Linked DNA regions of Drosophila melanogaster. The protein of the gene in region 3 interacts with the protein of the main gene of each other region in a pairwise test. Each region holds a gene or a part of one and is shown on either strand. Other genes may lie near its edges.

Region 1 (7,211 bases), on a different chromosome or scaffold from region 3:
AATTCCAGCCGCCACATAGCTGACGGTGTCCTCGTTAAACCGATCCGCAATCACGGAAACCCTTGCTGTGGGAAACTCCTTCTGGAGTTCTAAGGCGGTCGTAAGACCAATGATACCGCTTCCCAAGACTCCGAAATGCATTCTGGATCCGCTTTGAGTTGATACCCAATCCCAATGGAAGGCGATTTGGTACTGAGCATGCTTTTAAAGGTGCTTGCGAAGCTGGCTGCGTCTTATCAGCTCTTATCAAATCCGCTCTCCATCGCGCCTCCAAAGATGAGATAAACTTTACTGCTCTCTTTTAAAATTGCAATAAACACTTTTTCCGTTGTTTTTATTATGGTTGCAAACAGTGCTGCACGCTTACAGTAGACTTTAATTAAGTATAACGAAATATTAATGTAACAGTGAGTATTCAATACGAGATACAGCTTTTAAAATAGATATAGAATTAAATGTAGCCAAATTTAAATAAAAAAAGCATCTTTGCTTAAAAAACTGGCAAAATACATATATTTCATAGCTTAAAAATAAGCTAATTGTTTGTCCTATTCTTTCTTACGGGTATCTACTGTACATCGAAAATACTGTGTTGAATCAGCTGTTTGTACTAAACACATCTAAAAAAAACACATCCATTCTAGGGACCACAACAACTTTTCTAAACTGTCGTCAGTATAACTTGTCAACCCAAATTGGATTGACAAATTTTTAAAACAATTATTGTACTCCGCTGAAATTAAACTATTTACCGGCGTTCAAAGCGGAAAACTCAAAAATACCTACACGCGGAACAGCTGAGTGCGGTATTTTTTAGTTTCGCTCACAATTTGTACGTGCGATGCACGAATCGTTTTCAACACTGCCCGGAGGGTCACACTATCCACTCAGATATTTATTTTTCTAATAACATTTACTTAAAAGCAGACTTTACGCAGAGCTTTGGCCACGGAGGAAACGGAACAGATAGCCAGCGAGCGGAGCAGCCAGGACTTGGAGCAGGAATCGGCAGGAACACCAGGACGGATTTCCCCAAGACAAGCAGTAGTAGTATGTCTTCGAAGTCGCCAAGCGAGGTGAGTTCCCTTTGAAGTCTTGGGATAATTTCGATATCCGAGGCGTATTCAATATAGTAGAGGGTTTTAACCGCAGCTGGGCAAATGTTAACGATCCGGAAAGGTTTCCCTTCCGCAATCGCGTGTCGGACTGCCATCCCACGAGTAGAAGGTTCAACGTCATCTTATCGTTCTAGAGATTCATAGCTGAGGAGTGACACAGCGCTCTGCAATGATAAGCTTGTCCAGCTTCTTGCTCGATCTACCAGTCCGTCTATCGTTATATAACTTATTGGTTTCTGCAGGCCGAGGTCGTCTGACCCCGGTCGCTAATTGCTGCTAACCCCGCCATAATCGGGCCGCTGTTTGTGCCCACCCACAGGCCACAGACACGGCCCAATGTCATCTGCCTCCCAATGGCCAAATGTTTACATGGCATTCATTGCACTTTCCCTTCGCCTGAATGCTTGTTTATGCCACATAAACAATGCATTTGCATTTTGGCAAAAAACCTTCGATCCTTGCCAGCTCGATGCTCTTTAGGGAGCTGTTAACCTGGCATGGGGAGTTTACTATAGCTCGCTTGAATTTCATTACTTTAAGGGTTTGCCATATGACCATAAAGTTTATAAAACCTGTGTATGTATCAAGTCTTGGCATTGTATCTTTGCTCCTTGGCAATACGTCTTATATTTAAAATTGTATTGTATATTTTACCGGTCGGGATATTTATTGTGTACCTTTTTTAATAAGCATTTTGTACCCGCGCAAATATAATCTGGTTTAATATTGTTCGTTTATGCAGCACCTTTCTCATCAAGCAATGTCTTTTGTATACACATAAGTACAATACATATGTGGCTCACGCGGATCGCTCTCCCGTCTGCCGAAAATAGAAGCTCATCGCCATTGACGCCGCTCGCATTCAGTGCTCGATGCCACGCGAATTCGCACGCGCCGCTCTGCCAGATTCTTCGCGACGCGAAATTCATAAGCCAAAACACTTCGATTCGGATCCAAAGTGCGCAGGTTTAACTTTTGCCAACCATTGATCACCGGTGGCCAAGCGTTTTTCCCAGGGATCCTCTTGTCCGCTCCTCAATTGCGACATCATTGGCACGCGCGAAACATATTAATTGCCCGGCGCTCCCATTTACTCATTAGATCACTATAAATAAACAGCAAGCCATAGCCACCACATTTTAGAACCAGTTTATAGATCGTTTTCAATACCATGAAAAGTGTTTTCAAATTTTGTTATAAATCTGATATCAGCCTGTAGTTGAAAATCAAGAAGTATCAAGCCTTCGAAGTGGCATCATGAAATATGCATGGGCCAATCCGATCACAAAGAATATCAGATTCGCCATAAGGAAGTGTTTTGCCTTGTTAGCACTCCCGCGAGTCAATTAGTGATTTATGGTTGAGTTTAAAAGGCGGTTTCGAATGGCATCCAAAGGGCAGCAGAGCAATTTAGCTGTTTGAAAGTGTCTCCTTGATAAGGTCTTGGCAATAGAGGGATTATTGAAGTCACTGACCTGCCAAACGTGATCGCTGATCGGCAGATTTAATCGCTGTAAAGTGTACCTGCGCAATTTCATTGACGTTGCGATTAATATGTCACTTTCCTCATCAGTTTTCGCATCACCTTCACAGCGAAGAACGCTTTAATCTCAGAAGAGAGACACCTTTGCATTTAAGTCGCTTACATTTCATTTTATTTTAATTTAATTACTGCGATTCCGTTGTCTTTTCCTCACAGCAACAAGTTTCGCACATTGTAATTACACACGCCTTTCACGTGTCTGCGACAACAACACGTCCTCGTTCTGATGGCTTACGTTTCCTAGATTTCCCTACGGCTATATACAATACTTCCATGTCAGCGGCAATCGGCCAAAGGAGATGCTCTAGATGCGCTATGGAACTTGTTGCTCATCCGCCGCGAACGTGACACATGTCGATTGCCGCTCTCTTCAAGCTGATGATAAAGCCGAAACTGGCGCATCAGGTTTTCGTTATTTTATAAAACGCCACTCAGCACGATCTCTGACGTCAGAATGTACGATGATGACGTACCCGATGATTTATCGACCGGTGGCGAAGGGGGCAGGTGGCTTCTTGCCAAGTTTAAGGTTGCAGCGAGTTTATTATACACACTTATGGCCCATCCCTCGGTTCTTCCGCTTTCACCTTTACCGTAATGCGCTTAGCATTTCTCCGGTTCAGGAAATCGCTTTATATGGTTTTCAGACCGGGCCTCTGGGCCTCCCACTTGCATAATTTGGCCAGAGTGTAGTGGCTTGGGTTTGTTTATTTTAGCCTGGCGTGTGATTCACAGCCCAAGGTTGGCCAGCAAATGCGATTTCCAAAACATTTTTCGTGGCGTGATTCATTTCAAATGATTTCCCCATCATGCAGAGCCACCCACAATCCAAATCTTATGTGTTTATGTCTACGCTAATCGTCCTTCACCCTCTGGCTTACCTCCAAAATACTGCGGCTATCAGCTGCCAAAATGTTTATCAGCCACAAAGATTTTGGTGGTGGCACGCTTTATTCCTCGGCCATTGTGCTTAGCCGAAAAATATTCTAGGAAAAAGCGAAATAAATAAAAAACAGACGCGTCCCCCCTTTCCAGCGCCACCAAAGTCTGGCAGTCGCTGGTTTATTTGTTTACACTCTGCTTGGCTTTTATTGCCGAAGAATTTTTCGAGTCCATTGTTTGGTTGTTTTGGCTGTTTTCATAAAATTTCCCAGGCAGCGCTCTTCTAGACGTTGGCATTCAACTGCAGTTTTATTTATTTATTTCTGGCTGATTCAAGCAGCTTTTGTTTTGCTCTCTAAGTTTGATTGAGTCTAAAATAAACGCAAGTAGCCCCCGCTGAGTGTGGCGCGTGTTTATTGGTCTGGCCTACTTCAGCGCTGATTTTTTCGCGTTTGGCGGCCCATTTGGGTCCATCATACTATATACTATACTATAGTACACTATGGTTGCGGAACTTATTTAATGGGTCCACTTAAATTGGCCTCGCTAAGTGGTTGTCGATCTGTCGCTTCATTTAGAACCAGTTCTCTGTAAACCAGTGTCCGACTTATATAATCGATCATCTTCTAGGGCCCTGCTTGATTGCTTTTAATCATGAGCAGACGCTCGTCTTCATTTCAGTTTAAAAGCCGAAGATTTCATTGTGCCATCAATTGAAATGTATGCCCCATTGACGTATGCAACCGTCTTGAACACTTGTGTTCCTTTTGTTCGAGTATGTGCAGTGAGCAAAATGAGTTCGCAATTTACTGGGAAAATGCTTCTTTATGAACTTCAGTAAGTGCTGTTTACCAGTTGAACTTCCGTAATATTAAAATTGTTGATTATATATAAATATATTTTTGGTACCTCAATGCGTAGAGCTTTTCCCACACTGTATTAACATATACGTAGGATGTGCTTATCGCCACTTCCGTCGCTGTAATCTAATCGTGTGCTTATCAGGTAATGGCTGCGTGCCAGGGCAGTGGTCCGATAAGCGTTTCTGCCAATACCTTTGGTGGAGCGAGGGGCTGTGAGAGCCACCATTTCGTGATCCGGGGACACAATCGCGACTTAAGTTTAGGACCAAACCAGCTGGACGGGCAACTTGTTCAGGTTAACGAACTAGTTTGGGCCGTTTCTCGCTGCACTTGCGAATTCTCATTTTTGATAGTGCACAACCAACGTAGATATGTATACACAGATCGGGTGAGAGCGGGGGGTGGTGCGATTGGAGAGGTGCCGAAAGCGGCGACGACTTCTACTACTTGTGCCCGACAGTACGTACACAGAGACACGTCGCTACATCGGGCTTCGTCACTCGACTCGCCCTGCAGTCTCTCCCACAATTTTCTGGGCGCTTTCCTGCAGTCGTCCCACGAACGTTGCCGCAATTGGTCTACACGAATCGGTTCGCTAATAAAATGACTGCCATGCCCCACGCCCACTCTCGCCTCCTAGGAAAAACGCTGGCATATTGAACTGTGCGACTAACTAACTTAAATACTTAAAAGCAAGCCCAGCAAGCCGAGAGCAATCTGCCTAAAAGTGACAAGTTATAGGTGACACAACAAAAGCTAAAATTTGTGAGAAACTGTGTGAAAACTAGAACTACAAAATGATGAAGCTGTTTAAAAAACCCAAAGACAAAATACCCAAATCGGAGATTTTAACCGAGCCCAAGGAGCCCAAAACACCGCCGGTCTCCAAGTGCGGAAAACCTTTGCAGTTGGACAACTCGCGATGGGAGGCAAGTATATTCGAGATATTAAACCTGAACTTTGGCCAGATATCGCGTTCGAACAACTGGTCGTTAATATACATATAGTGTTCCATTGCATCATGAGTATGTAGTATTTTGAGTTTCAAGAAATCTGCGTGAATCTTCTGTTGATTCTCTTCAAGGCTGTACCAAGATTTGTTTTTATTATTCTTGGCATTGCCAAATCCAAACCTTATCGATCAAACCCATTTATCCGCAGCTCATTTGTGGGGGCAGCGGTGCGATACTTGTTTATGGTACAGAAAACGGGCCTGCAAGTGCCAATCACTCGATAAGAAGGGGGATCCGAAAGACGGAAAAACAATCGTCGGTTCTATAAATTTCAGTGACATTTGTTTTTATCTTATCGAGCATTTCGTTTATTTATACGCGCGTAGGCATATAGCGTATATTGGCGTTTGTAAGCCAAAGGAGAAATGGCGCACCGATAAGGCGAGCGGAAAAAATAAGTCTTGAGAACTCTTAAGTAGAATGTCCCAGCTGTAGGTGTGTTTCGCGATAAGATATACGGCGAACTGTCCGAGTCATTAACTAATATAAGTCTTAAATTTTATTTTCTGCCCCACAGCGCCGCCTACACAAAGAGCTGATGTCCCTGATCAAGGAGCCGCCACCAGGCGTAACCATCGACACCGAGAGCGTACAACAAAATTTATCCGAGTAAGTATGGACTTCGAGGCGGAGTAGGCCAAGTTCAGCGACAACTGAAACTGGTTTAAATCAATTCGCAATTCAGCAATTCGCACTGAAAACAAAGCCCGCAGTTGTTGGAAGCTGACACTAATATCGCTGTTTTGTTTACAGATGGAAAATAAACATTAAAGGTTTCGAGGGCACACTTTACGAGGGCGAGGACTTCCAGCTACTTTTCAAATTCAACAATAAATATCCGTTCGATTCGCCAGAGGTAATAATTCAGTTGAACAAAGCGAAGCTGTATGGAATCTTAACCATGTTCTCTTAATTTCCAGGTGACCTTCATCGGCACCAATATACCGGTGCATCCGCATGTCTACAGCAACGGACACATCTGCCTATCCATTCTGACCGAGGACTGGTCCCCGGCGCTGTCCGTGCAGTCCGTGTGCCTTAGCATAGCCTCCATGTTGAGTAGTTGTCGCGAAAAGAAGCGTCCGCCGGACAACACGATATACGTAAAAACCTGTAATAAGAATCCTAAAAAGACTAAATGGTGGTACCACGGTACGTATGCGTGATTTTCCAACTAAAGCCCACTGACTCTAAACTTGACTAATTGTTTATTTCAGATGATTCTGTTTAGTTAAAATTGCCATTTACTAATACTGCCTGCTATTGTTTGCTTTGCGCATCCAACCAAAAAAAAAAAAAAAAAAAAAAACACCATTAGCAATACAGAAGTAGAACACGGCGAGATGCCCCCAGAAATCCAAGAAATGTGGGACGGCGGTCAAGCACTGCTCGTGAGTGGAGCATACTAAAACCCAAGTGCACTCGGATGCGAACGTAATGTGCAACAAAGTAAATGAAGTTAGCGAGAAACTTATGGGTAGTGTTTGGCAAACAATCGTGGCGCATGCAAACAATTCTAATTGTAGCTATGTGTAATCAACAAAAGGCGTGTGCGAAAAACTATTATTAAATGTTAACATTTTAATTAGATTGTTAAGACCAAATTTATGTCTAAATTAAATGTTATCCTACCATTTAACCACTAAGCGTATGCAAACCACTTGAACGTTTGATAGTTCTGGCACCTCGCGCCAGTTGCTGCTTCCACATTCCACATGCATCGTTCGCGGCATTTTCTGCCCGAGTAGCGTGACCCAGCACACACACACATCGCCTCCATCCCAGCTTATAT
Region 2 (4,912 bases), on a different chromosome or scaffold from region 3:
TAAACATTTTCAACTCGCCTTGAGTGCGCGGCTTGTTCGGGTTCCATGGGCTATATGGGTTGTACGGGTTTTACGGGTTGCACGGGTTGTACGGGTTGTATGGGTTATGCAGCAGCTGTCGCCTGTGCGGACGCACACAAACAAGGTCCTGCACTCACACTCATGTGCACTGGAAGAAACTTCTGGGATTTTCTAATCGTTATTCCTTAAAGCGCCGCTGCTTAAGAATATGAGTATGAATCCAAATGTATCATTTTTTATCTGTCTTTACAACTTTCTTTATAGGAACGAAACTCACACTTTTTCTGAGAGAAGTAGAAGTACTTATATATGTTCATAATTAAAAGATGCTTAAATTGTGGTACGAACACCTGACATTTTAGTGGGCTGCTTTGGGGTAAAGCTTGTTTACAGTGCAAAGATGCTTCCCTGTCGACTCTGTCACACTCTGACTGCCGAGCGTCCATTGGATGGAGGGTGGTGGCAGGAGGACTTCGCCGCGTGTCCTGCGAGGCTACGACTCTTTTGGAGTCAACTGCATGTCAGTTTTGTTCGCTCCTCCAGCCTTCGCCTGCTTTTGATTACAATGCTGGTTATGTTCTCACCCTCGGCGAGTGCGAGTGTGTGTGGCAGCGCCGTCCTGCTGGATCCTGCATCCTGGATCCGGGATCCTGGATCCCGGCATCGTTTGCATCTGATAACACGTTAAGTGCGCTTGTTTATCCAGCAAGATAATTTGGACAAGTGTCACCTCTCGGATTTTCACGCGCCGGCTGCAAAATAAAAAGTAACCCCTGCGAAAATGTCGCAACTTTTCTGAAATATGTACGAGTATGCATGCATGCAGGTCGCCAGAAACTAACTAACTAGCTGCAGTTGGGGTTAACTGCCGCTGGATCAGGTGCAAGACCGGGCTGGGAACCTGGCTTTGGTCCTCCTGGACCGGAATTGTCTCATTTTATTTTGCGGTGCCCGCCGTAATTTCGCTTCCAGCCAGCGCTTCGTGGCATATTTTTTGTTTTCCGGCAGAGGGGCGTACGCGTAATTGGTGGTTAGTTTCGGGTTTGTCCGCAGCAAAAGGCAGATGCCACCTGGTGGCACAGTGGGTGCTGGCACTTTAATGTTGGCTTAGGCTGTTGATAAGCTCTGATTTACTCTATTTTAGGGTAGATATCCCTCTCAAAGGGCTTTACTTTAAGCGCTTCTTATGGCATGGAATTATGTATTTTCCTACAGTTGTTCATTATTTAGAGCAACTTTGTCGAATATTTGAACCTAGTATGCAATTGTGCTTCTTAAAAGGCCTTTAATATATATATATATATATCTATATAGCTGCCAAATAATCCCATTACCATTGTGCACCTCCGAATTCTGCTTCTTTATAGCCTGGCCACTAAAATCAGCACAAATCGATGTGTCTTGGAATTTTCGGACATTCCGAACAATCCGAGCTCACCTGACCATCGCAATGCCGTGCCAGAATTAACCCACATTAACCGGAGTCAAGTTGAAATCGGGAACATAATATCCTCGGAAAAACGCGCATGTCCGTCAGAATCCCTGACGCATGCAACATTTTTTGACAGCAATCAGATGTTTTGGAATGTTGGCGCCCAGACACACACACACACACACACACACAGACGCACGGGCAAACGCTCACACCGACGGAGAGAGCTTTGTTTTTGTTAACCTTGCCTAACGACGAATGGCGAAAACAAAACAAAAACGTGGAGAGGCAACAGCAAGAGTCGGAAAAGCGGGAGCACGTGCAGAGCGGAGGAAAATGAAAATCTTGGCTGCGCGTGCGCACAAAATCCGCTGAATGGAAGTGCCAGAGAGGCGAAAGCTTCTTTTTGGCCTGCCTTTCGGGGCGTCCAGGATTCCGAGTTTGTGGCCAACTCATTACGTTCGAATGTCAGTAGTTGAAACAAGGACGCGTTACGTGCAGAATACCCAGCGCGCAGCCAGGGAAAATCGCATAAATCGCCCAGCGCGTTGAGTTAAGCGGATGAAGTTAAAAATTTAATTGAAATACAGCAATGAAAATGCAGGAAAATTCTGCTGCTTAAGTGCTAAAGTGCTTTAGTGCCCCGTGTGTTCTTGTGATTTTTCCCAGAGCAAAATTGTGCCGAATCAGCAGATAGTCGTTACGTATACGCAACGTGTGCGGAGTGTTGTTTTATTGATTGCCCAGCAGCAGAGCCACACTTAAACCACTGGGAAAATGCTGATGAAACAGTGAAGATTTAAAGAGCAGCCTCTCCTCCGAGGCTCGAGCAGTGAAATGCGTGCAGCTGACAGTCAAGGTCGCCGACGCCTCATGTCACCCACAAAAACATAAGGATCTACAGAGCAAAAAACAATTGTAATAAAAGCAAACGAAGCATCTTCGTAGGCAGTTTCCAGTCATCAGCAGCTCATCAACTAAGCGAACTTAAAGTAAGCAAAGTGCCAAGTCAGTCAAAAAGTAAAAGAACAAAAATTGAAAATTCCTTTCCTGCCGCACTTGCAAGGATGGGGCAAAAATTTGGTGTGGAAAGGAGGTAATCCCACCGAGAAAGGCTGCCCTCTTTAGTGTGTGTGCCGCAACTTATCTCCTCGGTTAGACACACATGGATACATTATGTACTCCATATACGATATGGCAGGAGATACATACATATATAGGGGGAACAATCCTTAAGGCGGCTACAAAGAATTGTCTGCAGGCAGCCTCTTGTCGCTGGATTCGTACTTGTACTCTTTCTTTTAGGACTACAAACTGTTGGATTACTTGTGTATTGGTTATTTTCGTGTGCCCCGGCTGACATAGTTTTTGGCTTTGGCTTTTGTCTATTATTTACGGCCTGTGACTGCATTACAGGTAGCCCAGCCAAACGAACTTTGAGACAGGTCAGGACACAGATTTCCGGTCTCGAGTGCTTGAGTAATGAAAATGTGACTACGCCGCTTTGTTTTCGGATCTGTGGCAGGCAAATATTTAATGGAATTGAGTTTGTAACACAAATGAGGACTTTTTGGCAGCGGATGAGCTTGGTACTTTCATTTAAATATTTAAAAGAATTCCATGTTAAGAAAAGTGGATAAACTCCTTCAAAAACTTTCGAATATAAGCACAAAGTCAAAAAATATATCTATATTGGCTTTATTGGAGACGCGGTTGTGGACTTAATTATGTTTAAAAATATGTTAAGCCTGACGTTTAAAAAGTTTATTGGCGTTCCTGTAACCTAATTTAACCAACAACATTATTGTTTTAAAGGTTCAAGTACATTTCAACAGGATTCTGAGAATTATGCTCTTCATAAAACGCAGACCTGCCATTCGTTTGATGAGTAAAAGGTATTTGAAAAGTTATGCTTTAAATGAGTCTCAAAACTTTCTTGCGCTCGTATCTCTCTCTAGTGTCAAGTTAATTTCGCCTTAAAGATTGTTGATGACGACCCATTTGCGATATCTACACTCGCCCCTTTTAACTTTGTCATTCTACGGGTACAAGAAAAAGGAGGCGAATATCAACTCACATCAAGTGGAGGTTCCCGCCCACGTGGCGTATGAGTTATGCATTATGGCTTGCCGCTTCGAGACTTTCCCCAAATATATTTCCATCATCAGAGGCACTTTGTTTGCTCTACGCATTACGACAAATATTTGCCCATCGGACAACATATTCTTGTGTTGTCTTCTGGCGTGTTCTGCCGTATTTTACTCTGCTTTATTTTCTCTGTGTTTTTATACTTGTTTGTTACTTTGGCTTGTGGGCCGTGCGAGAACGAGGTCAGAGCTAAAATCTAAGCCGTAAGCTCTACCCAAAACAGCTGATGTCAGCAGAATATGTGTGCACGTAACGTGTTTTTTGTTTCAGATTCTCCAGAGAAACACACAGAAAAAACGATGTTTAGTATATCAATAGGTGTGGCAGTGAAAATTCCATAGATGGGATTCCAAAAATCGAACTTACTAACAGGAATGCTTGTTGTTAGGCAGCAGAGAAATGTTAAAAACATCAATCATGTTGTATTGAGAAGATTATAAACGTATAGATTAAGGAGTTCAAAAAACTATTTTGGTGAAATTACTGAAAATGGTGGCTGTGCCACATTATCTTTCGTACTTATCAAATCAATTAAAATTATAATAGTTTAAAAACCATTATTATATTAGGATATGGAAATTTACAGATGGAAAAATAATGATAATAATAACCAAAATTCTATTCAAAAATGGTAATTTTTCCTATCCCACATAACTGTAGTAAGTCTATTTGTAATCGCGAGTTACCTTATAAAAATTGTTATATCTGAGAATGTACAGAACAAAGCCATTTAAATATGGAAAACCGACAAAACTGTAATGGAACTTAGTGATAATTTTTCCGAGTGTTAGGCAGACCTCCAAGTTGATGAGCAGTGGGTTTGGGCTTGGAGGTGGCGCCCCAACAGCCACTCGACCATGGCCGAGAGCGGTGTCAAAGACTTTTTGCGGACTTTGATTTATCTGCAGTGCAGCCCGCAGGCGACTGCTGCACCCACACATTCACACTCATGGACTAGTTGTGAGTTCTGGCATAAATTAAGTGTTTATTTTGGCTTGAGCTGGGATATCGTTACATTTTATGCATGCCAAACTTCCTCGGCTGGTCATCATAAATTTATTCTGTGTAGCCTGCTCTTAGGCGCTACTTGCAGTGCTCGCTTGTGTGGGTGGCGAAACGAAAGTGTGCCAAATCGGAAACGGAAATGATCGGAATTGAGGAAAGTACTCCCTTCGATTTTATTTGGCATGTATCATTGCCGATATATAACAAGAGGCGTCCATTTTACTATTTAAATTCCGAAGTAAAATTTATTGACTTATAAAAATGTAAAAAAGTACAGGCTTTAACTTGAATAAACAATTCAATTCA
Region 3 (3,802 bases):
ATATCTTCGAAAGTAATCCCATAAATCATGTTTGCAAATGATAGGCTTCTTTGGAAACACTTCTCATTATGATTTAATCTGGTGGTAATCACTATCACTAGTTAGACATTTTTAAGGCAGATTTTCTCCGAGTGTACTGTTGCACCCAGCAAGACGTTTATCGCCTTATCACACAGGAGAGCCCAACTTTTGACCATATGGTCAATGCGATCTACGGCGGCCAATAAATGATTATCACGACGATTTTATTAGCCAATTGTGCCACTGAATCAGTGGAAATAAATTAATAGACTTTCGGTGCAAAAAGGAACGTCACAAATGACTGTATATAAATAAATACGCTTGAATATCTAATCGGCGGTGCCCAGAAATGTGTTAATCTTCAGCCTGATTGTGCACTGAGTACACTGGAATTCGTGACGTAGCCAAGGTAAACAAATGGTCTTATCTGTGCAAGAGTTTTGTGGTTTATTATTTGGCAAACAAGTGGAAATATTCAGTCGGCCGAAACGGCTGGAGTTGCGTACATCGTCGGCTTAAAGGGGGTTCGTCCAGTCCAACAGATATCCGTCCATCTGTGCTGCAGTGGCTCCCTTCCGGATTTTACAGCTCACGACGAAGCAGGTGATCGGTTCGTTCTGCGCATCGTTCAACGTGACAGTGACATCCGCCGTTATTTCCGGGAACGAAGGCTCCACATAGAAGTTGAACTGATACGTGACATCCTCGTCCTTGTCGATGGGACAGATGGCACCGTACAGGAGATTGCGGCACACATCGGACACTTCGTCGGGTAGGGCATATGGCAGATTCATGCCCAAAACCTTTGCCGTTGTGGTGGCCGTAATGCTCTTGATATTGTTGTTATCTGCAAGACATCGATGATGAGATTCAAGTGGACACGGATATAGATGGCCGAAACTTACTGCCCAGGAAGTGCACCTCCATGACTGCTATGGTTCCTTTGTACACAACGCACGGCGGTTCCTCGCAATCCTTAATATTCACATCCAGTGGAAACGGCTTATTTTTGCCTGAAAGCGGAAATATGTTTTCGAAGAATCAAAAGGTGAGCTCAAAAGAAGGCTATGTTTTTTTTTCTAAGAGATTAGCTGTTTGTTGATAAGCCATATCAACCTGGCCAACAGATACACGTTAGGACTTTAAATTTCTCTCAGAACGTATTTTTGGCAATAGTTTTCGAGACAAAGTCTGCGAAGTGAATCATCGTCATAGAAATCTGTTAGAATCATGAATCCAATCTAACAAACTGGTCGATTTAAAATGATTTGATGTTTTTCCAACAAAATAAAAGAGTTTTTAGCTACTTACACTGCTGGACATTGGTGGCATTGACTGTGGCCAGAATTAGAGCCAAAGTTACAACGATTCGCAGCATTTTTCTGGATGGAATCTTTTTTAATCTTACTTCAGAAGAATACAATATACATTGAGTACGCGCGCACGCAGATGACAATCGTGAGTGGAATCGATGGGGCTGGTGGAGAACCTTAAATAGCCCCGTGTTCGAACGATGACCAACGCCTGTAGAGAGCAGTTTATCAAAATCGGTGGCTATTGCCATTGATACGGGGCCGCCACGCAGGTGTTACAAAAGAAAACCACTGTGGCCTGCAGGTGTTGCGCTCTGACGAAGAGCAAACAATGCCGATTCGAATCAGTAAATAACGTAAATTTGGCTGATAAGTAGGGAGAGGCTGAACTACAATGTTGCCGGCTATACCTAGTAAACAAAACAGCCAGAGGGTGAATATGTAAGCAAGGCGGAATATTGGCTCGAAGGGTTAATAAACATATAATTTAAGGTTTGATCGAGCAATCAAATTTAAAAAAGCGGCCGATTAATTTCCTATCGATCGTGATTGAAGACTTTGTGTCATCGAAGACTGCACATCTCTAACTATGGCCGTTCAAAACATAAAATGTAAACAAAAGTCATTCAAGCACAATCTGACCAAAATCAAATATAATGGAAAGTAACGAAGATGTAGAGCGCCTTCTGTGTCAAAAGTATCCTGGTCTGGCAGCGGAGCTTCAGCCAAGTGGAGCGTGCATCATCAGAGGAGTTTTGGGCAGTGAGGTAAGTTATCCGTATTTCAATTTTTCCCGCCAAACTAATAATGATTGTATAATTAAGGATACATGGCGCCGCCTTAAACTCTATCTGCCACACCACCCAGCTCTTCATGGTTTCCAGCTCTACGTCCAGGAAAGCTTGGAGTACAAGCTGTACACATCGGCTAATCTCAAGTTACAGGACGATTGGCTGCTGGAGGATTTTCTGGACCATTTGCCAAAGATTCTTCCTGCCCAAAAAGCCCCAACAGTGCCAAAGGAACTATGTCGGGAGGGGAACATATATTACGATATCCTGGCCTTGTACAAGTCAAACGAGTACTGCCTGCAAGTGGACGAGGCCTGTTCCATGATTCGTTTCAGCGAATTCACCGACTTCGAGCAGCATTATCTGGAGCTTAAGATCCCGTCTCTTCTCTTGCTTGATCACAGTTTGCCCGACTGCGTATCGCTGGGTGAAATGCTGACCAAGAGTGCTGGAAACCTAGAGGAGGCCCTAAACCTCTTTCGCAAGCTTCTCGAGGATCTGCGTCCCTTCTACGACAACTTCATGGATATCGACGAGCTTTGTCATGTGCTGCAACCATCGCCCATCAGCAGCAAACACAAAACACGACTGTTCCCTCTCAAGGATCGCGTCTACTTGAAGCTGACCATCGCGGATCCCTTTGCCTGCATTGCATCCATGTCGCTAAAGATCATTGGGCCCACGGAAGAGGTGGCCCGCCTGCGCCACGTTCTCAGCGATGGTCTAAGTAACTGGGACTCCGAAATGAACATTCACAAGAACCTACTCCGAATGTTCGACTTGTGCTACTTTCCCATGCCAGACTGGTCGGATGGACCCAAGCTGGATGAAGAGGACAACGAAGAGCTGCGCTGTAACATTTGCTTTGCCTATCGCCTGGATGGTGGCGAGGTGCCCCTCGTCTCCTGCGACAATGCCAAATGTGTGCTAAAGTGCCATGCCGTCTGTTTGGAGGAGTGGTTTAAGACTCTGATGGATGGCAAGACCTTTCTGGAGGTCTCCTTCGGCCAGTGTCCCTTCTGCAAGGCGGTAATATTGCCTATCATTTCATCTATTGCCAATGTACAACTGCTTTATCTTTTTCAGAAGCTGTCCACCTCATTTGCGGCACTTTTAAATGATTGAAATTTGTAACCATAATATTAAAAGCAAATATTTAAGAGTAACTTATTATTCAAATAATCGTAAATATCAATTAGGTTTACATCCACGCCATCAAACGCCGTGTGTTTTTGCTAAAAGTAGTTGTGAAACGAATTAAACAGGTCCCACCTGATGGACCGCATCATTCTCCTGACGACGCCAGCAGCAGAGTTGACATCTGAAAAATCGCTTCACAACGCGCCAGCCTCATTCCATATCGCTTGAGATCATCCGCATCATATTCCGCACCACATAGGTGGTTCCATTGAAGGGCGAGTACTCGCTGGCTTTTCCAATCCGCACGCTGGAGCCGGCCAAACCGAAAAACACCTTGGGTGTTAGGTTGGGATGCACGGCCTTGAACTCCCACCCGACGTGCTGGGCGCAGAACTTGCACAGAATAATGTGCCACTGATAGCCGGGGAACCAGCTAAACTTTGTGGACGGCTCGCCGCTGTAGCCGATGGCATGGGATATCACCCGGTACACGGTGTTTGTCTCGTGGATGTAGCCCTCTGTAAAGTAGTTAGTTTC

Evidence for each region. The genes of interacting proteins can lie anywhere in the genome.
Region 1: the proteins of Fancl (region 3) and CG7220 interact in a two-hybrid assay, tested with the Drosophila melanogaster proteins (one large-scale study listed by BioGRID).
Region 2: the proteins of Fancl (region 3) and CG32206 interact in a two-hybrid assay, tested with the Drosophila melanogaster proteins (one large-scale study listed by BioGRID).

The regions. Positions count from the first base shown.
Region 1 is NT_033778.4:10,730,721-10,737,931, forward strand, and holds CG7220 (uncharacterized protein), read left to right. Parts: upstream 1-1,978; 5' UTR 1,979-2,076; intron 2,077-4,660; exon of another isoform or gene 4,661-5,099; 5' UTR 5,100-5,203; coding exon 5,204-5,335; intron 5,336-5,936; coding exon 5,937-6,028; intron 6,029-6,172; coding exon 6,173-6,275; intron 6,276-6,339; coding exon 6,340-6,571; intron 6,572-6,636; coding exon 6,637-6,650; 3' UTR 6,651-6,705; downstream 6,706-7,211. Other genes in the region: Daao1 (D-amino acid oxidase 1), read right to left, coding at 1-141.
Region 2 is NT_037436.4:19,409,907-19,414,818, reverse strand, and holds the start of CG32206 (uncharacterized protein), read left to right. Parts: upstream 1-1,906; 5' UTR 1,907-2,445; intron 2,446-4,912.
Region 3 is NT_033777.3:10,050,995-10,054,796, reverse strand, and holds Fancl (fancl), read left to right. Parts: upstream 1-1,927; 5' UTR 1,928-1,990; coding exon 1,991-2,101; intron 2,102-2,158; coding exon 2,159-3,154; intron 3,155-3,211; coding exon 3,212-3,250; 3' UTR 3,251-3,289; downstream 3,290-3,802. Other genes in the region: Npc2e (Niemann-Pick type C-2e), read right to left, coding at 537-868, 927-1,034, 1,333-1,399; ohgt (ohgata), read right to left, coding at 3,476-3,783. UniProt on the Drosophila melanogaster protein: Ubiquitin ligase protein that mediates monoubiquitination of Fancd2. Ubiquitination of Fancd2 is stimulated by ionising radiation.